Linked DNA regions of Drosophila melanogaster. The protein of the gene in region 2 interacts with the protein of the main gene of each other region in a pairwise test. Each region holds a gene or a part of one and is shown on either strand. Other genes may lie near its edges.

Evidence for each region.
Region 1: the proteins of CG14401 (region 2) and CG18810 interact in a two-hybrid assay, tested with the Drosophila melanogaster proteins (one large-scale study listed by BioGRID).
Region 3: the proteins of CG14401 (region 2) and PGAP3 interact in a two-hybrid assay, tested with the Drosophila melanogaster proteins (one large-scale study listed by BioGRID).
Region 4: the proteins of CG14401 (region 2) and CG14194 interact in a two-hybrid assay, tested with the Drosophila melanogaster proteins (one large-scale study listed by BioGRID).

Annotation. Positions count from the first base shown.
Region 1 is NT_033779.5:20,646,013-20,653,112, forward strand, and holds CG18810 (uncharacterized protein), read left to right. Parts: upstream 1-2,899; 5' UTR 2,900-3,024; coding exon 3,025-3,927; 3' UTR 3,928-4,067; downstream 4,068-7,100. Other genes in the region: CG2608 (uncharacterized protein), read left to right, coding at 83-850; CG2611 (uncharacterized protein), read left to right, coding at 4,239-4,448, 4,525-4,713; brun (brunelleschi), read right to left, coding at 5,278-5,548, 5,614-5,821, 5,882-6,073, 6,133-6,326, 6,389-6,873, 6,930-7,100.
Region 2 is NT_033779.5:20,865,933-20,873,848, reverse strand, and holds CG14401 (uncharacterized protein), read right to left. Parts: upstream 3,996-7,916; 5' UTR 3,716-3,995; coding exon 3,502-3,715; intron 3,248-3,501; coding exon 3,089-3,247; coding exon of another isoform or gene 3,077-3,088; intron 3,018-3,076; coding exon 2,794-3,017; 3' UTR 2,377-2,793; downstream 1-2,376. Other genes in the region: sky (skywalker), read left to right, coding at 1-100; CG31675 (uncharacterized protein), read right to left, coding at 4,512-4,732, 5,325-5,498, 5,652-5,703; CG9338 (uncharacterized protein), read right to left, coding at 6,705-6,913.
Region 3 is NT_033778.4:6,671,684-6,679,455, reverse strand, and holds PGAP3 (Post-GPI attachment to proteins 3), read right to left. Parts: upstream 5,853-7,772; 5' UTR 5,775-5,852; coding exon 5,639-5,774; intron 5,583-5,638; coding exon 5,266-5,582; intron 5,196-5,265; coding exon 4,729-5,195; coding exon of another isoform or gene 4,676-4,728; coding exon 4,603-4,675; 3' UTR 4,395-4,602; downstream 1-4,394. Other genes in the region: Tdc1 (tyrosine decarboxylase 1), read left to right, coding at 395-1,499, 1,622-2,150; CG17266 (uncharacterized protein), read left to right, coding at 3,766-3,849, 3,916-4,383; Hsepi (heparan sulfate C5-epimerase), read left to right, coding at 6,415-6,513, 6,570-7,772. UniProt on the Drosophila melanogaster protein: Involved in the lipid remodeling steps of GPI-anchor maturation.
Region 4 is NC_004354.4:19,191,595-19,200,403, reverse strand, and holds CG14194 (uncharacterized protein), read right to left. Parts: upstream 6,850-8,809; 5' UTR 6,573-6,849; coding exon 6,535-6,572; intron 6,457-6,534; coding exon 6,386-6,456; intron 5,981-6,385; coding exon 5,406-5,980; intron 5,346-5,405; coding exon 4,953-5,345; 3' UTR 4,367-4,952; downstream 1-4,366. Other genes in the region: CG7990 (uncharacterized protein), read left to right, coding at 940-1,131, 1,623-1,887, 1,955-2,173, 2,261-2,421; CG7914 (uncharacterized protein), read left to right, coding at 6,956-7,903.

The DNA.
Region 1 (7,100 bases), 220 kb from region 2:
TTCCCTCGCATATCTTTCGATGGCATTGCAGGCGCACATCCGCCAATTGCTCAACATTAAGCGAGGAAAACACGGCGGAAAAATGGATCTGCTCGACTCAATACTCAACGCCATGGATGCGCCGCCTGCCAACAACGAGCAACAGAAGACGCTGATCAAGAAACAGCGCGAAATGTTAGAGCGGATGCAGAACAAACAGAAAGAGGAGCTCCTCCGATTCCGAAAATATGTAGACGAACGGATGGGGCGATTCGCCAAGGACGACAGGCGATGCATCGAGTTTCAGCCGCTGGATAAAGTGCATCGCTCGGTGATCCACGAAGTAGCCGAAAATGGCGGCTTCATTGCCATGAGCTTTGGCCGCGAGGATGTGGACCGACATTCGGTTGTGTACAAAAAGGAACACGCTCCTGGCGAGGATGAGGTCACGGCCCGTCGGAACGGAGACGGTTGGAACGAGGAGATAGCCAAGGAGTACGCGGAGCGACGGCGGGAACGATTGGCGCAGGAGCAAAGTGACAAAGAAGCCTCCACATCCGAAGCAGCAAGTTCAGGCTCGTCCACATCCACATCAGCGGATCAGGACTCCGGCGAAGTTAAGCCCACGACCAACTACAAGGCCAAGTATGCCCACCTCATCGGAGAGTCGGCCGCACTGCAGGCGGCCCGTAAGACGGAGACCAACCAAAGCTACGGATTCGTGCCTAGCAAGAATAAGAAGGATGTGCGCTCCATCGAACAAACTTTGGCCGACATCCAGGCCAAAAAGCGTCTGCGATTGGCTCAGCAGCAGGAGCTGGAGCAAGAGCAGCAAGCGCAAGAGGCAACCACATCCACAGAGGACCCATGAGTCGCCTGTGACCCAATTAGTATACAGATAGCTCACTTAATGCAAGACTGTCGCAACCAAAAAAAAGGATTATACTTCTTAAATCAGAATCAGAGAATCAGACATGACATGCTCGTCTTGTTCGCAAACTCCTGCTCGATAACATCGACAATATTTGACAAAACAGAGCAGTAATCATCTTCAGGGAGCCAAAGATTTTTAAATTTATAGTATTCATACTATGTTTTTGCCCACATTAATCGTATTTGGTAATAGGCTTGATACTAATTTTTATCTTAGGTTAGCCCCATTAAATTAAATGCCCTTTTTTTTTGAGTAATGACAGCCTTGTATCGAGTGAGATTAGTTTTGTTGATTCAGATTAGTCACATGAAAGGTCTCTGACTGCCATGTAAATCATAAGTAATAAGCAATTTCATTTGTTGGCCAATTAAGATCCGAAAGTTGTACATGTTTTAAGCAAGTTATGTGTCCGTAGCAGAGTCCGAATCGCAATATCTATTTATATAATAAAAACCTAAAAAAAAAAACGTCGCAAGGTTCAAAAAAATCTTAAAAACGGGGCGCCACTCAAAAATCACCAAAAAATACAGAATATTTCCATTCCAGTATTTTCTTGTTCGTCACTTCTTTCTTGTCACGGTGGTGAAGAAGCAGTCACAGTTTAATGCCAGCCGAAAGCCGCACCACGTGTTGCCCATTCCAAGAAAAATAAACTAAATTAGCACGATGGCTAATAGAAAACGCAACAAAATTTTGCTTAATACAATAGAGAAAGATATGTCAAATAGCTGAAAGTTATATGGTAACTAAAAGATGTGCGGATCACGAGAAACGAGCAATTCACTTTGACAGCCTGGCAGCTGTGACCCAAAGAGTCTCACTTTGAGACTTCTTGGGACCAACCAGCATGGGAAGTTTACGCGGTAAGAATAATACAGAAAGAAGATCTCCACAACCATGATGAAATCGTTAGATGGGGACAACTGATTACTGTGACTGATTCATCTCGATAGTAGATCTGATTTTAAAAATGTTGCTAGCCTACGTGCTTTCATGTTCAACAGCACTAAAATAACTCGTTCTTTTTATATAATGCAGAAAACTGATGTTTCTGACTGAAAACCGACGAAAGAATGGTTTCCACACTTGTAAGTATAATGATTGCTAAAGATTTATGATTTTTTTTTTTTTGTGATGAAATCGTTAGATAGGGACGTCTGATATCTGTGACTGATTTATCTCGATAGTAGATCTGATTTTAAAAATACTGTTAGCTTGCGTGATTTTATGTTCAACAACACTACAATAACTCTTTCTTTTTAGATAATGCAGAAAAACTGATGTTTCTGACTGAAAACCGACGAAAGAATGATTTCCACACTTGTAAGTATAATGATTGCTAAAGATTTATGATTTTTTTTTGTGATGAAATCGTTAGATAGGGACGTCTGATATCTGTGACTGATTTATCTCGATAGTAGATCTGATTTTTAAAATATTGTTAGCTTGCGTGATTTTATGTTCAACAACACTACAATAACTCTTTCTTTTTAGATAATGCTGAAACCCGAATTTCTCTGACAGAAACCCTACGTAAGAAGGATTTCCACACTTGTAAGTTTAAAGTGTTATGTGTACGTATATATAAATATGGGAGTATTTGAGGCCAAGTCTTAAGCTATTGTCTAGGAAACAAAATACCAAATACAAAAACGAAACTAAGGGTATTCTTTAAAACAACATGAATTTTGTTTGTATTTATTAAATCTATGAAAATGATCCGTAAACAAAAGTAAAGAAAAATAATTTTGCACATATTTTTTTTAGGAAATCTTTAGAACTGTCTGTAAAAATATATATTTAGAGTAACCCCTGAATAATGATTAAATACTTATGCATAATTTTTATTTATTTTACAGGGCTCCCTTGCATGATGCCAGAAAAGTGGACGTAAAAAATCTAATAAAATTATATTTATAGAAACAGAATGCAGCTTGCCATAGTTTTATTTTTTAAATATTTTTGAGAGACGGTTGGGAAAAGGGAGAAAAAATATTGATACATCGTGTAGGCTGGAATAACTAATTCAAAGTCACACCAATACTTTTTCCAAACCAGTTTTGCAATCTGCAGTAAAGTTTTTACAAATTGATCAAATCACTTTCGTTATAATGAGGTTTCGGTCGCTGAAGAACATATGGCCAAAAGAGAAGTTGGAGCAATTCCTATTTTTGTTCATTTTATGTGGCTTGCCCGCCATATACTATGTTCTAATGGAGATAATTCTGCCGGAGTTGTCGGATTATTGGTCACCTGGTTACGTATTTCAGCTGCTGCTGGGACTGTTCCTCTTTTCGAATGTGATGTCCAACTATGTCATGTGCATCCTGGTGGACCCCAGCATCGATCCCAAGCTTATGAAGAATCAGTTGGTGCGCGGACAGCACAGTGAGGACTGGCACGAGTGCGACAAGTGCGGGATTCTTGCTCCACCCCGGTCACGTCACTGCAGGAAGTGTGGCGTCTGTGTCCTGATGCGAGATCATCACTGCTTCTTTACTGGTTGCTGCATCGGTCATGAGAACTATAGATACTTTTTCTATTTTCTTATCTACTTTTTTCTAAGCTGCATGATTTCACTAACGTCATCTTCGATATTTATTTACGTTCTGCATGGGGGCAGATACCAGCTCTTTATGCTGACACATCCCGCACCGAACTCTGCCTATTTTAACTCGCTTATTATCAGGATAATCTACTTTAAGTTGCCCGATATATACGAGCTGGTGTTCACTCTGGTATTCGTCCTGCTGTGGATCGGGGTATGCGTAGCTACCTATGTGGCTTATGATCAGTGGTCTCGTGGCTATTTTTGCTATGATTTTGAACTTCAAAACATTCCTTTTGACCGAAAACTGCGCCGAAACTTCAAGACGTTCTTGGGCAGGCGAATGAAGTGGACCTGGATCTCCGGATTTGTTCCCAGCCAGCTGGACCACGACGGATTTGATCTGGATCCCGACAACGAACGTGTGGCAGATTGGTGCTCAGAAACAACCATCAAGGATGGCTAAATAATTTTATGCATTCTCTGTGTTTTCCAAATTACCGGTGCGATGAAAAATTAAAAATTCGAATTCATTTGATTAGTTCAGGCATGCAAGAAAGCTTTCCAAATTAAAAAGTTAAATATTTAAGGATGTGTTATTATGCGATATGTGTATGTTTCGTTTTATTTGGTCTCTACTGTGCTTGCTGATTTTCCCCAGGTTGGCAGTCTCGTCAGCTGTTTTCCTGATAACATTGACTTGCCGCAAAATGCTTGTTTGTTTAGTCTGAAATTGGCATCTGGTCAAGATCAACTGCCAGTAGGTAGAGACCACATATGGAGCCCACCAATTCGGAGTCGCGGCACCGCCTAAATGGAGGGGGCAGGAGTTCCGCGCCAGCAGGCTCCGGAGAGTACATCAAGGTGGTGGAGTCCCAATGCGAGACCGATGGATTCGTTAATGAACAGTGGACGGAACCGGCGATGCCAGGTCCAGTGCCTTGGAAGACCATTATTATCATTCTTTTGCTGTTTATCGGTGGCATTGTGAGTAGTGATTACTGGTGCCCACACATACATGCACAGTTCCTTCGAACTTCTGATCTGATGTCTTTGTCTTCAGGTTTGCATCGCCTTTGCCACCTTAAACTGGGTGACGGACACGAGCCGGGAGCGATCGGATCGGGTGTGGGCGTTGGGTATCATCGGGGCACTGACCTTCATCCCGGGAAGCTACTATGTGTACGTGCTCTTCTGCATAATGCTCAACCGCAACGGATTCACCATGGACGAGATACGAAGACTCGGCTGAAAAGGAGAAACCAAAGACACCAAATGTTTCGTCAAATAGAGTTTATTGCTTTTACACTACAGTTATTCACACATTTCATTGGCATAATTTCTTTAGCAACAATCTTAATATGTAGTTCATTATGATACATGTGTATTGCCCCGGTAATTGTATAAAAATATTTTTTAAACACGAGCTTCGTTATCAAAATGTATAATGCTTGGCGTGGCTTCTAGTGCGCGGAACATTGGCTATCTATTTAAATAGCGCATCGCTTGCTTAAATATGTATATGTTTTACAGGCATGAACTATAGGTTATATGATTTATGTTATGGCCATTTTCTCTATCAAGCTTGGGGCACAGTATAACTTTGTGTTTCAGCTTAATTATATACAGTGTTATGCGTTACATGTTGTATCTATGTAGGTAAGAATTCTTTACAAACAATTGCTTTTCGTGTTTACGGATATAACAGGGCGCGTGGGAATCAAATACTTTAACAAGAGTAGGGGATTAGTATGGGGTGTATACACAATACATACACAAACATTGTAACGAAATTAAACTAGCGACAGGTAACATTTCACTGCTCCACGACGGTCACCTCGATGGGCGGAATGAACTTCCACACATGCGCCTGCTGCTCATCGTAGCTGGAGGAGAACATGACCGATTGGCCGACACTCTCCGCTTCTGCCGGACAGGAGCGGGTTAGCAATGACGACGGCTGCTCCGACTGCTTCTGCGGATTGCTGGTGCATTCGATGCTGGCCTTGAAACGTCCGGGGGTAAAGAATATCACAGAGCAAGTATGCTCTTTCTGCTCCTGCTTCTCCAGTAGTGGTATTGCAATTCTAAGAGGGTTGATATTGTCTAAATATTTAACTGCTTCGTTTCAATATTTTTCTTCAGCTCTCACCTATTTGGTCCTGAAATGGCCACGCGTGTCTCCAAATTGTAATTTTCCATTCCGTTCAGGTAATCCTGATAGAACTTAATGCTCAGCACCAGATTTCTAAGTGGTTGCAGGGATTGATTGGCCAGCTGGATGCTTAGCAGCGACCGCTGTCCCACCGTGCATACAATCTCATTGTGTGGCTGCACGAGCGTGTCTTGAAAGCTGATAGCTAAAGGTGTAATACAATTGTCATTACAAAGTCGGTAAGGAAGATTCTAAACAAACACACCCCACTCCAAAGGCGACACAGCTGTCAAATCCACCATAGACTGGGAGAGAACTATTCCTCGCAGTGAGGCGATTCCCTGAATGTCCGTCCCCGTTAACAGCCACTTGATTTTCACCCTTTCAGCTATATGAATTGAGCAGAGCTTACTCAGAGCATCGTTAAACGACAGCAGCTGCGTCCGGAAGCAGAGTTCTAGTAAAAAGATAAGCACAAATAGTGAATGAGCTCATATTAAGCGGGATTCATCATACCCCTCTCCAGATTCTCAGCTACCTCGGCCGCCCGAGCAGCCACCACTTTCTCCAAGGAGCACCGATCCACGGGTATGGGCACTCGGCAGCTCTCTTTGGCCTCGATGAGTATATTCTTGGTGTCCGTATAGTTGAGCGACATCTCTTGAGCGGTTAGGTTGGAGATGTCAAGTACCAGGTAAAATTGGGAGGCTCTGTAAATTTGATATACAATGTTAGAAGGAGTTACTTTGAAAAACGAGAAGATTGCACTTACACCTCTGCGGGAAGCACATCCCAGCTTGTAATCTGTACGCTAGGCAAAAGTTCTAGATTAAAGGACACCGCACATTGGCGACAGTAGCCCGCCGTCAAAGCATCTCCGCCCGAGTACTTAAATCTAACTTGCGCCTCTATGTGCTGGTTATATTGTGACCCAAGGCTGGAAGGTCCTACTCCTCCACCGCCGCCAGGGTGCAGGGTTAAGGCAGCCAGCGATGGTGGACCGCCAGAAATGGTCGACCGGAAACTGGAATTCTGTGGCTCATTTCGACGATGATGCGGTGAACCGACTCTCGAGGGTAAGCTGGCGTGCCCAGAGGTGGACACGCTCGAGTAGTGCGTTAGTGACGACGCACCGTAGTCCCCAGGAGCAGCGGCAGAATGCAATGAAGCAGGTGGTTGAGGACAAACGAAGTCCGCTTCGGCAAAAACATCCACTATGATTTCAATGGTGCCCTGGGGAGGCACTGGCAAATGGGCCTGCAAAGGAAAATCATTGATTATTCATTTACTCAATATAAGATCATAAATCTTACCTTGATGGCTTCTTCATCTATTCGGAAGATCTTCTGCTGCAGCTCCTGCTCCACATTTGAGTTGATGCTAAACTCTAGGTGCTCCAGTGGCAGCGTGGCGCTCTCATTGGTAATAGTTATTGTGCAGCTGGAGGATTCTCCGTTGTACAGCGTTAAGCTGGCAGAGGTCAC
Region 2 (7,916 bases):
AAAGACGGACAGCTGCAAGACCTTTAACAATCCGCCGCTGTGTCCGTCGGGCGACTTCGAGATTCGGGTGCTGGAAGTCTACGGATTCGTGGGCATCTAAAAACCTTCTTTCTTAGTCTGACCGATATTGCCCGCCGATGATCAAGTGCTCAGCAAAACTGCTCGACGTTCCCCCGCGTTTCCTTAACCAACTCAAACACCTACAGATTGCTTTCCTTTCCGCCCATTATTGGCGTATGCTGATGGTACCAGGATGAGAAAATGTGTAAACATTTATGAAAGCTTATTTATAAAAATGTATCGAAAGTGGCCAAGCAGCAGTAAATGCTGCCGTCGTCGTGTTAATGTTAAATGTTAATGAAAAAATGCAAAGCTAAAACAAATTATATATTATATAATGGAAATACTCTGTGAGTTCATGTTTCAAAACGCAAAGCTTTGAAATTACAATACCCTAGTTGTTATAACCCCTTTACATACGTATATACATGATATCTATACAAACAAGTATATATAAAATGAATTATTATAATGTGTATATTTATATGTAAAACGTATTTCTATAGCCATGTACCCGGAGCAAAGAAAAAATTCCTTAAAAATTTCAAGCAGAATACCACACCGGAAAATTTGGGCTGCAACATCATTTTTGTTTGTTAGCGTTATTTCATTTAATTTATGAAACTGTATTTTTCTTTCTGTAAACCAAATTTACTGACTTGACTGAATTCGTTATTAATGTTATTAATATTATTATTGCTACGTGTATAGAAAGTGTAACTTGTAAATTGCATTGAAAACAACTGAATGTTTCTGAAAGTTGTCCCATTTGGTCGCAAAATATAGAGATAAAGTAAAACCAAACCTCTTTCGATTAGTACTGCTGCTGACGCCAATGATATGCTCAGATACTACACATATAAACTATAACTATTTAGCCCCCAAGTAATGAATATAAGGCCAACGTCCTTAAGCAGCGGAATTTGTAGTCGGTTCAAAGTCCAAAATAAGTTGAAGGAACGATTGGGCAGTGGAGAGCTGCCATGTGCCACCATGTGCAATTGATCTCAAAACGAAAAACGAAAAAGGAAAACAAAGAAATGTATTACAAGTTGAAGGCTTCATAGGTAGACATAAACAAAAACGGAGAACAATCAATAATTATTTTAAGATTCCATTCCATTTTCAATACCAACGAAATTCTTTGCTCACCTCCACCTAAAAACTGCACGTACACAAAATTTTTGCACACTTTTCTAGTCAATTTTTATGTTTTACAAAAATAACATGGTGTGTCTCCTCCCATTTCCCTCTGGACGAACACTCATCTGCCTTTGAGTGTCTGCAAATTCCGATGGCTTATTGATCGTTGCACTACTCAAACGAATTGTTACATTTAAATAAAAGAACTACAACGAATTGAGGGGAAGGGACAGGAGTGATCACAGATTGCAGAATGTAATGGGTAACACTCCACAACTATTTCATTGAGGAGCTGGTACTCCACAATTCCCGAACCCAAATCCCATACCCTAAAAATTATATTATAACCATCCAATATAACCCAGGTAACCTGCAATCAGTGAAAGGTGCAGCAGTGAAAAGCAAACTAAATATGAATAGGTTTTAAACAAACTCTGTGTGTTGTTGTTACTATGATTCAATGTATATGTGTACGCACGCAGCATTATATAAACGAACTACATTATATACCCAACTACAAAACAAGTTGAACAAGTTGATCCATGCAATGCAAATCTGTTTGTTATTTGTTTCTGACTGTGAATCGTGTTGAAACAATAAGTTTTACTATATTTGGTTGACTAATGCTTACACGCTGATGATATGAATTGTTGATAGACTTTAAGACGCGGAAAGATGGACGACGATTGTTTGTGGCATTGACGCGGCAGTGGTCCTCGCTGGGATCGTAGAGATTCCGCCGGACAACGCCAGCATGGACAGTATTGGTGAAGCAAAAACAAACACAATCTTTTGTACATAAATTGTTTTCTATCTGAATTGTTCTCAATGTGTAGTTTATATACAATATCTTGATAAATATCCATATATTTATATTTGAATGTTATTTATGTGTAGCCCAGAAGTGTTATGAATATAATCCGCAGCTAAACCCATTAAGATAATAAGCAAAGATGTTATCTGTTTGCCTACATAAAATAATTTATGCTATAAACTGGAAATAAATGTAAAACTAGAATTGTTTGACGATCAAGAAATCAATGGACTAGATATTGAAACAGAAATTGTGTGTATCGATTTGAAAGTGTTATTTTAATTTATTTTATGAATATTTTGTAATTAATGATCCTAATTGCAATACACACATACACATACTTACATACACACGCTAGTAGAGTAGGAAACGAGTAAATTTTATTCAATAAATTATATTAAATCAAACAAGTATAATTATATAAATATATATGTATGTTAAATCATTTTAGTGGATGTATAAAAACAATGGAAAGAAAATCAAATAAAATAAAAATTAAAAAATATTTGCTTCTATTTCATTCTTCTAGGGGCTTTAAGTTAAATTTATTACATATTCAGTAGGCTTTTTATAACTTAAGCCATTTGCCTTAGAAAATTAAGAATATAAGGATAAACTTTGGGTCGTTCTTGTTCTGCGCCCTTTGCATGAGTATAAGAAGTCATGTTAGTTAGTCGACCAAGAAAACAACAATCTTTTATACAATACTGGAGTATATTACTTTTAATAGGAAACATTGAAATACGACCGCCGCCGTTCCACGCGACTCATCTTCCTTAGGTCGCCAGTAGGACAAGCAGTCCGAGTATCGAAAGGGCAATGACCAAGGGTAGTGTGGATAATCCAGCGGCTGCGTTGCACAAATCCGTATCGCACAGTGTGCAGCCGAGGAAGTTCATAAAGGGCACCACAGGATCTGGTCCATCGTCGCAACTGACGCCTATTGGGGAGGCATCGCCAAAGTAACAGGAGCGCCTCACGAAGCGCGTGTCTCCTGGCACTGCGAAAAGTGAGTCATTTTATAAGGGATTTCCTTGACATATTTTCCAGAAACCATACTCGTATACTCACTTCCCTCATGGTACTTGGTAAGGCAAGTGGCCTCCGCTCCCAGGGATCGCATGTTCGCCACCACATCGCAATCCGTCGTGGATATGTCATCGCCCACAAATCGCTCCCCACACCCTGGATTATTGACGGAATCACATTCGTAGCAGGTAATGGCACGGGCTGATGACGACATCCGTAAAAATGTGTGTCCACGAGAGTGCACAGAAAGGAAAACAATGGATGAGCATTTTGGTAGACCTTATCTTTATCTTAAAGTAAACAATTAGCTTTAAAACCATTCTTAATGTTCCAAAACGTTAATTTCTTTTCAGATGTAAGTTAATTAAAATTTGTAATATAATTCTTGAACTTTTTAGACTCTATACGTAAACAATGAAATAAACAAAGAAAGCTGTTTATATGTTTTTCTTTACTGAACAGTTTCCCGCAAAACAGTCGGTAAAACCCTAAATTCACTGATTCGCAATAAATCGTGTTGACAGTCTTCTGCTTCTGAGATATTTCAAAATATGAACTACAATTTCGGGGCAGGAATGTGATGAGTGGCGGGCGCGAATCGAGAATCTCACCTGAGCTGGCCAGCGTGACGAGCAGAAAGAGCGAGGCAAGCGCTGCCATCATCGCCATCGTACCGCCCCCGAAAACAGTTGATTCCACTGTCGTCCGGCGGTCGCGGTGAGTCAGTATGGCTATAGCTATAGCTTGGCGATGCCGATACGTGCGCGAATACAGATGTTGTCTTCTCGGTTGCCGGACCGATTTTAATCACATGATAGATGCGCTATATAGCCACAAGCCGCCGACCAACGACCACCGACCACCGACCACCGACCACCGACTCGAAGCGATGCACACACGCGACTGAACTAAACAGAAACTGAACTGAACGTGCGAACAATCGCATTCAGAATGTGAATTTGATTTTCATAACAGATTTTTTCACATTTTCACTTCTCCATCGTTGGCTTTTCCCTGGCCAATGCGTGTTGACATCGTGCTCTGCCTTGCCCTACCCTGCCCTGCCATTCCCTTTGCCCTTTCCTCGCCAATCCATTTATTTCAGGCAAGGTTCATTAGTGGCATTTGAACAAATAAACAATTTGGCATTCTGTGTAAAATTAGTTTTTATTAGTTTGTATTTGGATCGTTCGAAATTTGTTTGCCAGCTTTTCGGCTCATTTCGGTGTGCTGATGTTGCTCATACGCCATGTTCGGCGTTGATTAGCCATTAATACAGTGGGCCGGGCAGATTTGGCTAAACGGTTTTGTGGATGGTGTGCTCTACTAATGTGGGCTTTACTAATTGATAGTCCTGGGCCTTGGGAATACATCTAAATTGAACTAGGTTTACTTAAGCTACTGTGCCTTTTAATGTTCATTTCACGCTCCACATTTCCACATTTCCACTTCGTCTCCTGTCGCCTCAGAGTAGTTGAGTTGCCAAGAGAAACAAGACCAGACTGCCGAAGATTTTCCATTTATCCACTGGATGATTTTCCGATCCGTTGCAGTAGTTCTCGCTGTCGCACACATGACAACTTGAGTTCTGCACCGCCGACAGGGTGGGGTCCATTTTGCACCACACATCGGTGGCATTTACCTCGCCGAAGTAGCAGCCTCTGACGATCTTACGCACGCCGTTTTCTGCAGAGGCAAAACATTGGGTTAGTCTACTTTCGGGCTGACTTATCGTAAATAAACACATTTTTTATTGTCCGTCTTTAATGGGCTTATACGAAATGTGTACGTATTGTCCAAAATATCAAGAGATTGTTGGAAAGTCTACGAGATTCTTCTGAAATAAGGTCACAGCTGTCCGTATATGCACGTATGTCTATGAATGTATGTATGACTGTTTCACATAATTAATTTTATTTGTTTTGATTTGCGTCACAAATCATTAAAGAAATTATTATCTGAAGAGTAAATACAAATCTCGGACGGACAACATTGCGAATGTTTAATGAGTATACAGACATTTACCTTTCGGAACACACTTTTTTTGTCCGCTGCTAATCGGACTGTATTTGTAATTAATGAACAATTACTTTAAAAAAATATCTGGTGGATAGATACATTTTTGGTGAATTACGATATATCCACTTTTTAATCTTATATTTCAAACTTTCTTTTCTTTTTACTATACCTATTGATTCATAACTATTAAAGTTACTATCCTAGCAAGGCTTCAAATCCGTAGGAACGTGTTTTGAGAAACATATTCGTTTAAACTCACCCTTGAATACCCGTTTCAAACAGGCCGTGGCATTCACGCTGAGCAGATCGTTCTCCAGGAATCGCGGAGGAGCAATGAAGGCGCAGTCGTATTTAAAATGGTTCTCGACTTCGAAGTCGTCGCCGCAACTAGCCTCGTAGACGGATTCGCAGGCATAGCACTTGATGGCGTAAGCTAGTGGCATTGGGATGGGAAGACCAGAGACGCGTCTTATTTATGGCAGAAATGAGATCAGGCGGGGACAGCCGACAGGTCGCGGCAAACGCAGAACTCGCAAAGCAAAGTACAAATTCGAAAGAAACAAGTCCAAACAGAACAAAAACAAACCTGAGGCCAGTAGCGAGATGAGCGCGCCAAACAAAAGTAAATAATGCTGCATTGTTGATGGGAGGAAAATCGGTTTGCCACCTTTCTCGCTGGTGATTGGAATTTGTTGTATTTGATGGTTTTATGGAAAATAATTCAAGTGGCGGGCTTATTTATAGCTCTGCTCGGCGCAATTGAAACGATCCGCACGAGGTTTGAACATACAAAACTGTATGTTTTGTATAAGCAAATATAGTATATATTTTGAATATAAATAAATGTGTGTTTTCAACTATATAAATGACTTTTATTTTATATTTATTTGGGTCTCAGCACGTAGGAAATAAAAATGTAAACACGCGTTGCCAATTTTCCCTCAGTTTTGTTTTTTGATTTTCCCCGATTTCCCGGCTAAATTCTTGGAGCCGTCTGTCAGTCGACGTCCGCACACGAAATCGAACTAAAAGAATGCCAAAAGCATTTTCCAAATTCAACTCCTTGCCGTTTTTCTCTTTTCCGTTTATCGCTCTCTTTTTTCTGTGGTGAAAACATTTTATGGCCATTTCGCCTGGCGTCATCGCTCAGCGTTTTAATTTGTCTAAATTTAATGAACATTTAGCGGGTGGAGACTTGACGCGCCGAACTTATAGCGACCCTGTGGGAAATGGAAATGGAAAAGGAAAACTGGGAGTGTATGGTCGAAGCGAGTAAAATCACAGAGAGAACTTTTCCGCTTTTCCGTCTGTTCGTATAATCGTCAGCCCAGCATATAGAGAGCCCTGCAGAAGAGACGTAGATTGGATGGGGCCAGTTCTTGAAGTGTGCCAGACACGCATGGATTTTCTGCTTGCCCAACTGGAAGGCTATCAGTTAAAGCTAGCAATTAATCTACGAATAACCATAAAATATCTTCACATAAATAAAGCGACATTTAATGTGGGCGAAAACAGTTTAAAAGGGTGTAACAATTACAAGAGATTCAAAGGTGACTAAAGCAGCTCCATGGGTCTGGCTTCCCAACAGCAAGTTCGATATGTTTGGGATAGCTCAGCGGTACTACAAACTGCTCCTCGTTCAGGCTAGCAGACGGGCCAGGCCAAAGAACAGGAGTATGACTCCGGCGATGGGGGCCAGGGAGGAGGTTCCGTTGCACTCGTCCTCGGTGCAAACCTCGCAGCTCAGCAACTTGTTGATCGTCAGGCTGGGATCGGTCTGGCATCCAACCTTCGTGTCGGCGATGTTGCCAAAGTAGCAGGACCTCACGATTTGCGGGTTACCGGGAACTGCAAGTAAACATTTTAGAAGTTGGTACAAATTATTTGGTTAAGTGTAAATGGAAATGCTTTGTCGGTTGTTATTCTTTTTGATATATTATAAATTCAAATCATATATTCGGCAATTAGATTCAGAAATTACGACATTAAAGCGTGCTGTGTGTTCTAATGTGTTCGGAGATAAATGTATAGAGAAATATTCAAAAATTCTCATTTTTAGACTTTCTCTGATACTCAATTCTATTTGTATGCAGCTTTTTCAAACTATAAAGTATATTCTGACTTTAAGTGTGTTTCCTTTAAATAAATAATATTTTTTTGGTCAGACTATTCAGGTTTTTACATTCGGACAATGATATTTAAATCCAAAAATTACAAATTGTAATCATTAAAATAAATCCATAATTATTATTAATTCCCTATGTATATCTCACAAAAGGTAGAACACATTTAAAGTTCTAATATAGATGTGACGAACTTTTGAGCTGAATGGGATGCCAATTGTCTGGTGTTTAATTAAAACTGACGATGATGTATTCAATAAAACGCAAGACGTGGTCGAATGTTAATGTAATTAGCAAACAATTGACTGAGGCGATGTTGCGGTCACCGAACATAAATAATTCCGTAGCAAAAGTGAATGGGGTCCAATTATTCTCAATACCATATAGCCCTAGGGAGTATTTATGCTTGGGAATCGCTGGACAATCAAGTAAATTGTGAACAAATCACTTAAAAAGGTACTGCTGCGTTTATGTCCATTGTCATGATGCATTTTTAATGAAGGGCACATATTGCTGTGGGACAGCGACTAATCTCCGTTGTGAGATTAACGCACTTGCCTGTGAGCAAACGCACTTTATCATTATAGTATAATAAATGAGGAAGTACATATATACAATAGATATTGTTTTTATACATGTAAGATAGTCAGTACAGTCTACCTTATCTGAACCTTCTTCTCATATTTATGAGTATGCCCCATTCATCATATGTGGTTCCTTCCATGGTC
Region 3 (7,772 bases), on a different chromosome or scaffold from region 2:
GCAACGAGATGCGTGGGTGGGTCCGGCATAATTGGGGCACACTCGACAGCCATCTCTCCGATCTTCGATCTCCGTCCACCTCAGAGGTTGGCAGGTTGGAGAGTAGGTTTCGCTGGCGAATTTCAGGCGAATTCCGCGCAGTTGGCTAAGTTAAATATTTACGCCGGAATGGACGCCGCAATCCCGAGTTCAACTAAACAAATCAATTAATTATGCATACGCAAACACACACCTTGCGTATAGACTTACTTGTTGATCTTTCTACTCACTGCCAAAAACAACAGACCCGCCATAAATACTGCCTTTGCTGGCCCCCCCAAATTTATGGGTGATAAACGAAATATTTAAGGCCCATCCCACTAATCCCCGACTGCCTGTTTATCTCTATCTCCAGCCGACGCTCCCCAGTCGCCGGAGCCGTTCAAGGACGTGCTCGAGGACTTCGAGCAGAAGATCATGCCGGGCGTGGTGCACTGGAACCACCCCAAGTTCTTCGCCTACTTCCCCTCGGGCAACTCTTTTCCATCGGTCCTAGGCGACATGCTCAGCAGTGCCATTGGTTCAATTGGCTTCAGCTGGGCCAGCTGTCCGGCGGCTGCCGAGCTGGAGACGATCGTGATGAACTGGTACGCCAAGGCCCTTGGCCTGCCCAAGGCCTTTGTTTCGGATGCCCCAGGCAGTACAGGCGGCGGCGCCCTTCAGGGATCCGCCTCAGAGTGCGTTCTCGTCTCTCTAATCACAGCCCGCGCCCGGGCCATCAGCGAGCTAAAGGGTCAGACCAGCGTTCACGACAGCGTCTTCCTGCCCAGCCTGATCGCATACGCCAGCCGTGAGGCACACTCCTCCGTGGAAAAGGCCACCAAGATGGCCCTGGTGAAGCTCCGGATAATCGATGCCGACGAGCATGGACGCATGCGCGTTGACCTACTCCGCCAAGCAATTCAAAACGATGTGAACGCCGGCTTGACACCCTTCTTTGTAGTGGCCACTGTGGGTACCACCGGCGGCTGCGCTTTCGACGACATCACGGAGATCGGAAAGGTGTGCCGCCAGGTGTCGAGCATTTGGCTGCACGTAGACGGCGCCTATGCGGGAAACTCCTTCATTCTGCCCGAGATGCGGGTCTTTTCGGCAGGACTCGAATACGCCGACTCCTTCAACACAAATCCCAACAAGCTTCTGCTGACGAACTTCGATGCCTCTGCCCTGTGGGTGCGGGATGTGATGAACCTTAAGAGCGCGCTCAACGTGAATCCCCTCTACCTACGACACGAGCACTTGACCGGAGTTGACTACCGCCACTACGGCATTCCCCTGAGTCGCCGATTCCGGGCACTCAAGCTGTGGTTCGTCTTCCGGACATACGGCATTCGGGGCCTACAGGAATACATTCGAAATCATATGGCGTTGGCTAAGAAGTTTGAGATGCTGGTGCGCAAGGATGAACGATTTGAGGTTCGCAACGATGTTCACCTTGGCCTAGTTTGCTTCCGAATGCGGTAAGTCTATTAACCATTAAACCATTTATAAACCATTAACCGTTAGCTAGTATTTACCTAACTGAAGAAAGCAGCTAAATCTGAATGCTGGTCTTTAATGATCTACTCAATCTTCTCTACAGAACTGGCGACGAGCCCAACCACATGCTGCTCGCCCAGATCAACCACTCGGGCAAGATGCATATGACGCCGGCCAAGTTCAACGGCCGCTACGTGATCCGCTTCTGCGTCACCTACGAGCACGCCACTGAGAAGGACATCCTGGAAGCTTGGACCCAGATAAAGTGCTTTGCTGAGGAAATACTGCGGGACCACCAGCTGGAGTCCAGCTCCGTGCCAACCACGCCGGAAGGCTCAGAGCGGACCAGCTCAGAGCCATTGGCTCCAGTGGCGGGCAAGCCACCCATCAAAAAGAGGCTGACCAGGACAAAGTCGCTGCGATTCTCCTTCACTCGCAGCATCTCGCGGGAGCAGTACCAGAGCCAGAGCGAGCACCTAATGGACGGGTGCACACCCATCCTGGTCGTCGATCCCAAAACTCTTCAGGAGAACTTCCAAAAGGCGGCGGATGACAATGACAGGAACAACAGCAATGGCAACGTAAAACTCAAAGATATATCAGACGTGGATACGGACGAGGCGAGTAACTGAGCGTCGACCCGAAAAGGGATTTGCGGATTTACCTCTACCTAGTATTAGTTGTCGAGCTGAAATGAGGCATGAATCAATCGACTACCGACTAACATTGCTCAGTTTGAATTTAAGAACATCCATTTATGTACTAGTAGGACCTTAGTTGTTGCTGAATATCATGTAATTTAAAGATAGACTCATTTGCATCTGCTTATACCGTTTAGCTACCTTAAGTTACTGTCATGAACAAAAGCACTTATTTATAAACATTATCTCGGCATTTTTTATGCAAGTTTTTAAAAAATACAAACACAATCCAACGGAAAATGTATCTCGTGTCTTGTAATGGGAGTTTGAAGGACAATCTTAATGTTTAAAGCAACTTGATATGTACATTATAAATGTATATTATTATAAAATTTACAGAGTCGTCCAAGAGGATACATTTAAACAAACCAGAACGTACAGAAAACTATATCCAATATCCAATAAAGCTGTGCATCTGTTTAGAAAATGATATTCCACCCACAAACGAACACAATGCCAAGGATATGGTTTTCATCAAGGAGACCTCAATGGGATTAAGATCCCCGGGAATGTGTTGTCACTACCAAAACATGAAATCTATTTTTCACTAAGCAGATCTTAACGTCAAATGGGGGTCATTGTCGTGCATATTTTTCGGAAAATTTACATTTTTCTTGAGTACAATGCTCACGAATATTTATTAATTATCATACGTTTTTGTACTATGTCGATAAAAGGTCTTCATTCATCAACAGAGAGGGCTAATTGGGGCCATTCGTTTCCAACAGAACTCCTAAAATGGCTAATTACGGGAATCCTTGGCAAAGAGTCTATCCAAAATCCAACTGGGAGATCTTTGGGGGACGCAAATAGTATTTTTTTTAATTTTTGTATATGATATATGTCTCAATAAGTTTGCTTTAAAACGTTACCACTACATCTTAAAAGTATAAACTAATTATAAGTAAACTAAATATAAATATACATATATCGGTCTCCTTACGCATGCTAAGGCATACAATTGTTGCTTGCTACTGCACTTGCTTTGTCTCTTGCATATCTCCATTTCCCACTTTGGTACAAATGCATGTACATACAGATACAAGTGTTTTGGGTCATTCTGTCATTCTTTGTGATAAAAGCTTTTAGCGTGGGAACGTATGTATGTTGAAGAATTTACACACGCATATCCTATCAGGAAAAAATCCTGCCCATCGGACCACGAAATATGTTAGTATGCATACATATTTTGCAGGCCTTGAGAAACTTGCCAATAAAAATAAACAACTAAAAATAATGCCGAAACAATATCCAACAATAATAATATTTATGCACTATTTTATGCACTCTACTCATCAATCAATCCAATCATAAATAAACTCACCTTAATAAATATTATTAAATAGTTTCACCAATATGTGCACAGCAAAATATAAACAAGCACTTGGCACACGTGTGCTATCGATATAACCGGCTTGTGATGCTATCGACTTGTCGTGCATCGTCATCGAACCATCGTAATAAACATAAACAAAAATCTGCCGGCTTAGTAAAATCTTAATCTTGACTTGTTAGAAAGTTTATAAACAAATAAAATAATTTTAAAATGCCTAACTGGAATCAAATACAGTCCCAACTGAGAAGCTCCAACAATCCCGTCGTTTTCTTCGACATTGCCGTAGGCACAACGGTGAGCTGAAAACAATCTAGTCATAATCTGTACATAACTCCGCCTTCTAACGCCTTTTGTGTGCAGGAAATCGGACGAATGATATTCGAACTCTTTGCGGACACAGTGCCCCGCACGGCGGAAAACTTCCGGCAGTTCTGCACGGGCGAGTACCGACCGGATGGCGTTCCCATTGGCTACAAAGGCGCCAGTTTCCATCGGGTGATCAAGGACTTCATGATCCAGGGCGGCGACTTTGTGCAGGGCGACGGCACCGGCGTGACCAGCATATACGGCAACACCTTCGGCGACGAGAACTTTACCCTGAAGCACGACTCGCCCGGCCTCCTTTCCATGGCAAACAGTGGCAAGGAGACGAACGGCTGCCAATTCTTTATCACCTGCGCCAAGTGCAACTTTTTAGACGGAAAGCACGTGGTGTTCGGTCGGGTTCTGGATGGACTGCTCATCATGCGCAAGATCGAGAACGTGCCCACGGGCCCCAATAACAAGCCGAAGCTCCCAGTGACCATTTCGCAGTGCGGGCAAATGTAGCACGGAGTTCTAAATGTTGTAATAAAGTCTCTATTATGTCTTTTTAAACGAAGCTATTAGTTTTCCTGCCGTTCTGGTTACTGTCAAAGGATGTTTTCGCTTTGACATTCAATAAAATACATTACATGTTTTCGCTCTGTTACAAATTACATGAAATATGTCAGAAAAATTGCCAGATAGCTTTGCGTGCTTTAAGGGCTAAGAATAACTTAGATAATACTAATTGTAGAATGAATAGCCGCCCGCCGCAGCCTTCTCCTTTCGCAGGGTTCGACAGTCCTCTATCATGAAGCTAAAATGCAAACACATGTAGCAATATTAGAATAAAGTAATATTTCTACGCACTCATAGTATAGGGATGCCAGAGGAATTGTTGCCAAGTGCCACAGAGCATGAGCATCCAGAATCCAGAGGATGGGCGGAAAGTCAAGCAGTTCAAGGCTCATAGCCAACGCCATGAGAATATAGAAACGCAGGATCCTTCTAAAGTAGGGCCTGCGGGTGCGCACAAAGTGACACCAAACGAACCATCCCACTGCCGCTATAACTCCCGTAGCCACGTTTACCATCATGTTGAACGCATAGTTGAACCGTCCCACGCTCAGGTAGGCAAAGTAGTTAATGTAGTAGGAGAGGAATGCCAACGTGATAACACCCCGTAGGAACAGCGAGTAGCGGTGCAGCATCCGCATGACCATGACGTAAAGTGAGCACAAGATGATGGAATAGGCAAAGGCGTAGTCCAGCAGCTCGGTCAGTGGAAAGTCCCTTGTGTGAAAGATGGCGGACCAGATCCAGCCGTTGAGACTCGTCTGGAAGAGTAAGGATCGAGGGAACTTAGTATAACGACTTTATTGGCTGATCGTGTAAATAAAGGCATACCACTGCGAATATGTGGGTCAGCATATAGCAGGGACTGTCCGGACGCACTTCTCGGCGGAACTTGCGTAACAAGCGCAGGTGAACGACAAAATTCAGGCAGGAGAAGATAACTGAGGCCGGCTCCTGCATGCCCAGCAGGCGGAGAAAGGGCCACTTGCCGTAGAACTGGGGAATCGGCCAACCGCGTTCAAAGAAGGCGAACACCGTTCGCCACATGCATCCATACTGACACTCGTCCGCGCAGCTCCACTGGAAGAGCCGGTCAAACACCGACTGCTGGTAAAACTTGACTGCCTGCTCCTGGATCTCCAGTCCATCTGCCAATGGAAGCTTGCTCTTAAGACTTGCAATTAAAGTGGATAGCACTTCTCACCTGCCGAGCAGTTCGTTCGCTCGCAGTTCTGTCGGCAATTGTGAAAAAACTGTGTGCGGTCGCCGTTGGAGGCGAGGCAGGCGGTCACTAACGCCCCAAGGAGCAAGACTATTGCACTTAAACTACGACTAGACATTACTAAAACTAGTTAAACGCGCCTTCTCACCGACATCCACCCGAAATATTTTGTAAACATTGCACTATTGATTAATCGCCGTCGTGTTGATGCTATCGGTTCGTCGATAGTTGTCAGCATGCGTATGGGAACATTTGAAAATACCAATGAATTTATAAATAAAAGTTCATTTTCAACCAAAGGAGGAATATAAACTATTTAAACTCGAAAATTAAACTATTTAAATTACTTAGCTACAGAAGTAACGATGCACACGGTTAATGCTTGTTATCGATAGCTTACGTGCATAGGCCGCCCAAGAGCGACCATTTGTCATATGTCAAAACATTTGCTCATCTGTATCGCAGTTTCTGTGTTTTCGCAGTGTTCGCCCATTAAAGCGAGAAGAGCAGCGCAAATCTAAGCAAAATATGCTTAGTGAGAACTGGATGCACTTGAAATATCAACTTTGGATGGCCCTGGACTGAACTCAGAGGGCTACAGGCTCGGCAGGTGGAATTTTAGACAGAGACAGTGAAAGAGACGTACGCGTACTGGTGCACCATTATCATCGTCAGCAATGCATCTGCCAGATGAATGCAGTTTTAAATTTAGAGCATGACTCACCTAGAAGCCAGTTAGAGAGTTCGCCCCCAACCGAATGTCCAAATATCTAAGCAGTCAGAGAGATGCCCTTTCCGCACCCGCGCTTCCAGTAAGCAGGGAAAACCGGGAGCCACCTAAATTCCAAGGGGTAAAGGTAACAATGTCTATTTCGTCGTGTTATCAGTTGGCTAATCTTAGAATTTTCTTTAGCAACGCGAGCCACTGGTCTTTTTCATCATGCGACTGAACCTAAAAGCCGTGCTGCTTGTCCTCACAGTGGCTGTGGTGGTAATCACTCTGGGCGTGTATATGCGCTGCGCCGCCTTCTCCTTTTCGCCGGACTTTGTGCGTCCTCTGGACCGGTCCGCAAGGCAGTCCTCCAGCGGAGGAGAAGCTACAGCGCTGCACGACATTGAGTGCTCCATTAACCAGGAGTACACCGTGCACTGCAAGCGAGACGAGAACGCCAACGAGGTTTACGTTCCGTTTTCCTTCCTGCGTAACTACTTCGACGTCAGTGGAGCAGTTTCCACCAACAGCAATGAGGTGGCCAAGTTCAACTGGGTGCACAGCACAGCCAAAGTTAACCTTCCCAGGGGAAAGTACGATGCGCGCGGCGTCTATATGTACTTTGAGAACTACAACGTGGAAGTGCGCGACCGGGTAAAGTGCATCAGTGCCGCGGAGGGCGTTCCAGTGAGCACGCAATGGGAGAAGCGTGGGTACTTTTACCCCACACAAATTGCCCAGTTCGCGTTGTCGCACTACAGCAAGAACCTCACAGAGCCGGCACCCAGGGTTCGCGTGTTGGAGGACGGCGACGGGAACCAGATGGAATGGAGTACGCCCAAGACCAGCAACATGACCCGCATCTGGCACCACAAGTTTAACACCAGTGTTGTCCAGTTCGAGACGGCACCTGGTTACGAAGGCGTCATCAGCATTGCTCTAAACCAGACATTGGATCTTCTGCTCAGCGTTGATCTGCTCCTGGTAACCAATAGCAGTAGTCTCATGATTACCGTTCAGAATCGGGACACCCGTCACAACTACAGCCTGCACTACATACCCGCAGATCTGCTGCTGAGCGTGCAGGATACAAACATCTACTACGGTCTGGGAGGCTCGGCACTGAACAAGTGGCGCCACATCACTCGAGACCTGCACATTGACCTTCAAAAGGGCATCATGGGTGACAAACGCTCGCCGCTAAAGATACGGCGCTCCGATCTGGAGGTAATATCTATTGGCTTTCTGGGCCTTGGCTTCTTCGACAATATCACCTTGTCCACCAGTGACCATCTGGCTCACTTCTACGACGCGGCTGAGTGGTTCGTCCACAACCAGGACCCCAAGACGGGTGGCTGGACCAATCCTGTGCGTCGCAGCCTCAACGGCTTTGCCGAATTGCGT
Region 4 (8,809 bases), on a different chromosome or scaffold from region 2:
TGGCGAGCTTCGAGCTGCTCGCTTCCGGTGTCCCGATTCAATCGCAGCACATATTTAATTTCATTTCTGACGCCCGGCCAATTTCCCATTAACTTGAGCTAATTAATTTTGGCCAGCTGCCGTTGGTAATAATGGTTACGTCAGGCGAGGCTCGTCTATTTTTGGTCCTTAATCCTTTGCTGCTTCGCAGCGCCAGAGAACGATAAAGAGAGGAAGAGCAAGAGAGAGAGTGAGAAAGGGGGAGAGAGTGTCCTTGCCACCCCCCCAGGCTATCATTCATATCCTGCCCCCGCCCCCTACTCCCCTTGTCTGCCCAAGAACTCAAGGACTTGTTTATTTATAACTCCGGCTCATCCAGTTCGGGATGCCAGGCGAACCGCATTCACTATTCAGCCGGATCGCATAGTTTCCGCCTTAATTCGCTGCGCCCCATCGTTCGTCTTTTGTTTATTGATTTATTCACACGCCTTCTGTTTGGTTTTCATTTCTATTTTTACCTTTATTTATTTTTTTTTTAGCGCTTTATCGTTGTTGTGCATTAACCAAAACGAAACACTCGACCACCAACTATGGCCAGGTAAGGGCTGCCATCCCATTCCATTCTCCACTCCTCCATTTAAGAGGCGAAACCACTGCGGTTCTGGGCTGGAACGATGCCACATAAGCAAACATTGTCCTGGGAAATATTTAATTTCAATGATAACTCGAAAAACCCTAATACTGATTACTACCTATACGTTAATAACTCAATGAGTGGATTTTAACTATCAATTTAATATTAATTAATTCATTTAATTGATAACGAAAAGCTATATGTTGCAAATACTCTCCATCACATGTTATTATGTGGCATTTCGCACATCCCAAGTATAGTGCGCAGTGGTTTTGCTTGAACTCCGCTCGATCCTAATGGCCTCCATTCCTTGCAACTCCTTGCAGATCAACACAACGATTAGCTCCAAGCAGGCGGATGCGAGGGAGCCGCAGGAGCAGCAGGTTGCCATCCACTACTTGGCTAGCTTCCATGAACTGTGCGTGGTGACCGCCCTGCTGCCGCTGGTGACGCTCTTCACGTGCTTCGTGACCGCCTACGTCTTCCAGTACGACGATGTCCACGAGACACATTGCCGCGTGAGTAAATGGGCACCGGGCGATCCAAGGGTATTCAGTGGCCAGGATGATGCTGATGAATGATGAATGTTTTGGGCAGGGCTCCGGCGCGTCGCCCGTGGCCAATAAATCACTGTCATCCCTGCGGGAATCCCGCCGAGATTGGAGACACGCAAATCCGCTTTTCCAAACGATTCGCTCACAATTGCTCCACGCATGGCGGTTTTTATTTTCACCAGCGGTCATTTATTTAATTTTAATTACAATAAATTTCACCAGTGAAATATATTCCTATTTGGGTATATATATAACTCAAATAGATTTATACATATCTGATTTTTTTATGTTATTAATATATATTTTGATTATTAGTGGCCATAATTCATTTTCCTTGCAAGTATAGAGAGCATTCACTTCAAGGGTAACCCGTCCGTCCATATTCAAGAGCATCTCCCACCATATCTTCAGTCTCCAGATTAATGTTATTAATTATGTATGGCATTCGTTACCAGGTCTACAACATTATACCCTCGATAAGTGCAATTACCGGCGTCAGTCCGCAGCGCTACTTCTGGCGCTTCAGCATCGCGCTCCACATCGGACCGCGAATCCCCATCGCCTTTGTCTACAAGAACTACTACCGCTCGCAGCTGCGTCGGATCAGTCCCGCCCAGGTGCCTCAGACGAGCCTGCTCATCACGCTGATCCTGGTGCTCAATTGCATCGAGATCGCGTCCCTGGGCGGCGTCACCTATATATCGAATCGCGAGAACTACCGTAGGTCCTGCCCAGCCCCCCAATCGTACATCTGATCCCTCTGATCCGTCTGCTCTCTCTCTTCCAGCCGTTCACGAGCGCATATTCATCACGTTCATGGTCTGCTCGCTGTGTTACATGCTGGCCACCATCAAGCTGAACGGCATCCTCAATGCCGGACAGGCACTGAGCGAAAAGCAGCTCCTCTCCATCAAGTGGAAGAAGATCCTGTTCGCCGTCTCCATCCTGAGCACCGTCGGCCTGCTGGTGTTCTTTGCCAAACATCGCTTCTACTGTCACGACTTGGGTGCGTTTCAAATCTCTTAGTTTCACATTTTCCACCCCGAAACAGATAATGAATCTCCCACATCTCTATTCCCACATCTCTTGACAGCATTCAGTTGGTTCGCGTTCTTCGAGTACTTGATCGCCATTGCCAACATGCTTTTCCACTTCACCATCATCTGGGACTTCCCATCGCAGTTCATGATGATCGTGCAGGGACCCCGCGAGAATCTTGCCCAGTATTTGAGCAACCGGCCGAAACTGGACTAGATTCGACCAGGACTAGATGCCCCCAGCACGCCACTCCTCCAGTGAACCGTGTGCGTGTAATTCCCGTGCGAAACGTACAATTAACGAACTTCTTCAACTTTAAAACTAAGCGCTTCCATACCGATCAACCATAGCAAATTTAGCCTTCTTCTAATTCTTCGATTCTCTTTACACTTACACTTATGTATCAATCTAAACCGAAAGCGAAACCAAACCAAAATCCAGAGATAAATGTTCCATAGTTCCATGATTAATATAGCTATTGAATTTAACAACAAGTATGTAAAGAATTTTGCCAGATTAGAGGGCATACCGTTCTATGTACACATTCTAAATACGTGAAATAAGTTACCTAGGGATTAAGTGCACCCAAAACCAAAACCAAACCAAATGGATCGCAGCTCGCCAGATCTCATGTCAATTTCGAATGGAATGCAAGGAGCCAAGCCAGGTGCGAGCAGTTTCATTTGTTAGGCAGTAAAGTAAAGTAAAATAAATAGAAGTCGCATTACTTACCACTTAGTACATATCGTTTATACAAGATGATAACGAGCAGCGGGAAATAGCCTCCTTGGGACAGGCCCTATTGGCCCCCAACCACAAAAGAAAAACAAACAAACATAAAAGGAACAAGGACACGATTCTAATAGACGGTAATCAGACAATAGACATTAAGTGTGCGACTTTGCTGCGGGCAACGAACCAGGACCTCCACAGATTCCATCCGAGCAGTGATGGCAAATGATATTTCCCGGATAGTTGATAGCTAGCTAACTCATGCCCATAGTTTCAGAATCCCTCACTGATCGTGGATCGGATTGAATAATCCGAATGGACGTGGAGGTGCGGCTTCTGGTGCTCACGGGGTCAGAAGGTCAGTGGTATAAGCAAATGTAGCCAAGTAAACAATTGTTCTTAGCCAACTTTAATAGTGAAATAAAAATCGAAAGACGGAGCAATCCGGTGAAAACTAGAGGCCCATCATAGGTAACCGAATTGCAAACCAGATTAGGATCAATATATTTTGCAGCAAAGGAGTTGCGTAGGTGTTTTTTTTTTGTTTTTTTTTCTTCTACACAAGAGTACTTAGTGTAAATCGAGAAGAGTTCAAATTGATATCGCTACTTGGCCAACTTTGTGCCATATGTACACAGCAGGTTCAGGCGGAAGGTTTTATTCGATAAGTAGTACGTGCTATTGCTAACCTTAATTATGATTGCGATTGTGCATTATATTTGCAGGAGATCGACGTCTTAGGTAATAACCCCGTATGTTCCCGAAAACGAGCAACGTATTTATGTAGCTAAGCCAATGAAACAATTGTTAATTCTCACACAAAAAACCAAATACAAACGGACACTCTATAAAAAAAAAATGTTATACAGATTAACAAATGCAAGCAAGCTCACGCCCACTCATGCGATATGTTATGCAATAGTTAAGTTGCCAGTTGCACCTCGCGATCGATCAGATATATATTGTATTTGAATTATTGTTAATGCTTACACGGCCTGCGTTTAGCCCACTTTAACTATATCTATACTAATGTATAACTCTGTCCCGCTCCATTTCGATTCCCCATTTCCGATTATGTGCCTCACTCTCTCTTTCCCACACCCCCAAGAATATGTACTTCCAGTCGCATCCGATCCGGTTGCAGACTATATTCATATATTCATATATATATATATATATGCGCTTTATATATACCGCTCACCGGCTAATCTTCAATTATTTTGTCCGGCAAATGGATGGTCACTTTTTAAAATGCAACTTTTTACCTTTGCATAACTTTTTAGGCGACACAACGTAAGAGAATTAATTAAAAATGAAATGCAAAACTTAACTATGAAATACATATGTAAACTTTGTAGCTTCCTAATTGAATAAAGATAAATACAACTCACACGAATTTCGAACCATTTCATCATCGTCTTTTCATTTTGATGGAAGCACTTAAGTATATTTCTCGTTTTCACGTACTCTGTTAATTATTTACACTTTATAGTAGGTCATTACACATAAGTGGGCTTCTCAAGGTGTGAGAGATGTTTTACATATAATACTAGCACACGAGTCAAAATTCCGAATGCGGCGCTGTTCAATTTGTGGTCAAGTTGGAGTCCGATTCGGGTCTGGACAAAAGCGTGTGGTGGTCAGGTCCTGTATGCATGTATGTGCTATATGTGCTATCATATGCAGGCGGATGCGTGGAAGGGAGCATGGTGGGTGCGATGTGCTTGGTTGGTTGGTTGGTTGGTTGGACATGGTTCGTGGGCGGTGTTAGCGTTTGTCTTACAATTAAAATTCAGTACAAGTCTAAAAGCTACGACGGAGACGTGAGTGTGTAAGTGGGTATGGGTATGCTTAACAATGCCTAACATAAACACCTGAACAAAGGTGTGCGGCGTCTCCTTGTGCGCGTGCAAAGAGGCTGTCCTTAAGTCTACGCGGTTCTTGCGATTTATTGTAAATGTTGCTGTTTTACTGTTGCTCCTGTACTGCTCCTGTGCTGTACTGGCCGTCTATATCTAGTCCGGCAGATCGATGCTGACGAACGGAACCACCGGCTTGAGAATGTCATTCTTGGCCCCCTTCTTGCTCTTCTTGTCGTGCTTGTGGAACTCGTGCAGCTGCTCGCTGGCCGCCATGCTCGTCGAGGAGGACGCTGCGTCCAGCGGCATGGACTGTGCAGCATTGCTGTGGGTTTCCGGGTGATAGCTGATGTTGCCGTACTCCTGCAGGAACGGCATCGCGGACAACAGGAACTGGCTGAAAGACTTGCGGATGCCGAACCACCACATGTTGCCGCCCTTTGCCGAGGAGCTAAGAACTATTAGCGCCAGAATAGAGACGAGCAGCGGTGAGAAGACCACGATGTACGGGAACTTAAGCTCGCCGTCCAGCTTGTCGCAGATGACCACCTGGCGGAATAGATGGGTTAGCGATGCACAATCTTTTGGAGGGACTAGATGAGGTCTCACCTGAAAGCAGAGCAGTGGGAGCACCGTGCAGATGTTGCCCACCGCTGCGTTTAATGCCGCCTTCTTCTGCTGCAGCGAGACCTCCGGCGTACGCATCATGATGCCACAGAAGATGATGTTATACAATACGCTGACCAGGCTCAGGCATATGACGATCCACATGGGCACAAACACTACGTCCCAGTTCCAGTAGACAAAGCGATCCAGCTTTAGCGGCAGTGAAACAAACTGAAGCGCGTTGACCGCCAGGAAGAGCTCCAGCTCGAAGGAGCGATCGTGCTTGACGGCCCAGACACAGGCGCCCACACTAACCACCGAGCCGAAGATCAGCGGAATGAAGACCAGCACCCACAAGTGACGGTCCGAGGTCAGCTTATCGCAGGCCAGCAGCTCAAACATCAGCAGGATCAGGTGCAGGGCCAGTGAGATGAGCATCGCTTTGAACTGCGTGTAGGCATCGCCCTCGAGACGATAATGCGGATACCGACACCACACAATGGCTCCTACGATTGCGCCCAGGATGGCGGTGCATTTCCATATCCATAGCGGTGTGAAAATCGCCCAGTAGGGCCAATCTGGGATAAGGCATTCGATTAGACTAGGCTACTAGGCCAATTATAAGGTTAATGCCCTACAATAAATCTTGTTCAGTAATTAAAAATCTAAATATTTAGCTTAGATAAGTTATTTAAAATAGCGAGAGAACTAATATCCTCGTTAAGTGACCAAATTTGGATGATCCTCTATGGTCAGACGATTTCTTCGATATTGCTATATCCAATCTCATGATCTGCTTGCTAACCCTTGTATACAATAAATCTGGACTATTCTCTAGAAGAAGCGATGGTGCACCGTACACATATTTGTGTATGGGTCGTATATGCTTGTATTGTTATATGATTGTATTTTCTTGCATCCCCGTGCTATTTTAATTCTGGGTGACGTTGTGTATTCCAGAACTGCCACAGAAAAGTACCCACCAATGTAGTTGTCGAGGCGCAAGGCGAAGAGCGTGACAAAGATGAACAGGCTGCAGTGGACGATGAACTTGCTGAAAGGGAACATGGTCGATTATGTTTTAGATTGGGAACCCATGTGATCCGGTCGTCCGCAGTCGGAGGCTTCTCACCAGGGATTGAAGTCGCGGAACAGAGATTCCAGATTCATGTTGCTGAGGACACCATAGAGCTATGTCACTGGACACTTGGTACCTGGACACTAGTTGCTCGTGGGCACCCGCCGCACCGCGTCCGCTCCACGAAGCGATCTTCGCCCGAACAAGGCTGTGTGTTATGATGGAGTGGGGGGGCGGGGGCAGTTAGTACTCTACGCCTGGCGCCGATCTTTCACCCCTTTCCCTGTAGATATTCTGTTCTTTGTTTTATTTACACACTTTTTTGACTGGCATTTCTGTCCCGAGATTCGATATCGATAACTCTTGCCTGCTCTGGCGATTGGCTTGACTAAGGACTAGCCAGATGTCTGGCTACAATTCGCCAGATTTCCGGCTACGCTAGCCTGCTATCGATAGCCTCGATAGGCACAGGAAAATGTTATCTTATTTGGAAGATTTGAAGGAAAACGAGGACCAGCTGCGGGATTCAGACTGCTGCGGCAATGGCTGCACCAACTGCATCCTCGACAACAAGCCACGGCCAAGCAAACGCGTCCTGCTGGCTGGCAAACGCAACGTGATCCTGAGCTACACGAAGTTCCGCCTGTTGCGGCGGGAAGCGCTGGGACCCAATGGACAGTTGCTGCTCCTGCACTTTGCTCATGCAGCAGAGGAGGGGGACGGCGATGGAGCGGTGGACACGGTGCTTGACATCCCGCCCGGCCACCATGTGATGCTGCGCGTCGGCTCCCTGCTGCGTCCGTATTCGCCCTATTGGAGCGACTTTGTGGCCAAAGAGTTCCGTATCCTGGTGAAGCTGCAGCCGGAGGGGCCAATGTCTCGGCACCTGCAAGCCGTACAGCCCGACGATCTGCTGGAATTCCGTGGTCCCATCGGGCAATACGTACACGAACCGCAGCCGGCCAAGTGCATCTATATTATCGCCCAGGGAGTTGCTATTGCACCCACTCTGCCGCTGGTTCGGCAGGTGCTGGACAACGAGGAGGATATGAGTCGCCTGTGGCATTTGGTGTGCGCTCACGACCTGCTGCATGTCTACTTCCGCGAGGAGATGCTCGAGTTCGCCCAGTTCTGGAACTACAGGAGCTGCCTCTACCTGCCGCATCAGCAGTGTGACTCCTCCGCTTGCCAGGAGGCGGGCCACTGTGCCCAGCAGTGCCCTCAGCTCCGGGACAATCTACGCTACAAGGAGACGGCAAAGGTGTCCCGATTAGATGCCACCGAACTGGCCACCCACCTCAATCCCGCGATTCCCGGACAGCGTGTCCTCATCGTGGCTGGAGATTCAAGTTTTCAAAAGAACATCGCCCAAATAGCAACACAATCATTGGACGTAGATCCGGCAAACATTTATATGTTGTAAATGCCGGGAAAAACTGTAGTTGCTTATAAATATTTGAATATTGTTAATGAATTTGTGATCGTACTGGTTATACCGAGGGTTTTATATTTTTTATACCCTAGATTCGTTGAAAAGTATGTAACAGACAGAAGATATACATATATTCTAGATCTGGATCAATAGCCGAGTTGTTCTGGCCATGTCCGTCTGTCCGTATGAACGTCGAGATCTTAGGTACTATAAATGCTAGAAGGCTATCACGCCCACTCTAACGCCCACAAACCGCACAAAACTGCCACGACCACACTTTTAATAAATGTGTTGATATTTTTTCACATTTTGATTAGTCTTCATTAATTTCTATCGACTTGCAAACAACGTTTTGCTACGTCCACTCGAACGCCCAAAACTGCCACGCCCACATTTTTGAAATATTTTTAAATTATTTTATAAGTCGTGTAAGTTTCTATCGATTTAAAAAAAACTTTGGCACGCCCACTCTAACGCCCTAAAACCGCCCAAACCTGCCGCGCCCACATTTTTGAAATTTTTTTTGGATATTTTTTAATAATTTTATTAGTCGTGTAAATTTCTATCGATTTACAATTTTTTTTTTGCCACACCCAGTCTAACGCCCTAAAGCGGCCATAACTGCCACGCCCACACTTTTGAACAATTTTTATTCCCCAATATCTATCGATATACCAGAAAAATTCAGAAATTTCGCGTTCGCATTCACACTAGCTGAGTAAAGGGTATCTGATAGTCGGGGAACTTGACTATAGCATTCTCTCTAGTTGGCATTTGAAACTTTTACATGTTTTCTATACTTCCAATTAAGCATTTGAGTGTACCGAAAATGGAATGTGTACTTCCATAAAGGAGGAGGAGTTCACTTCTTCATCATCAGTAATACAGGTAACTCCA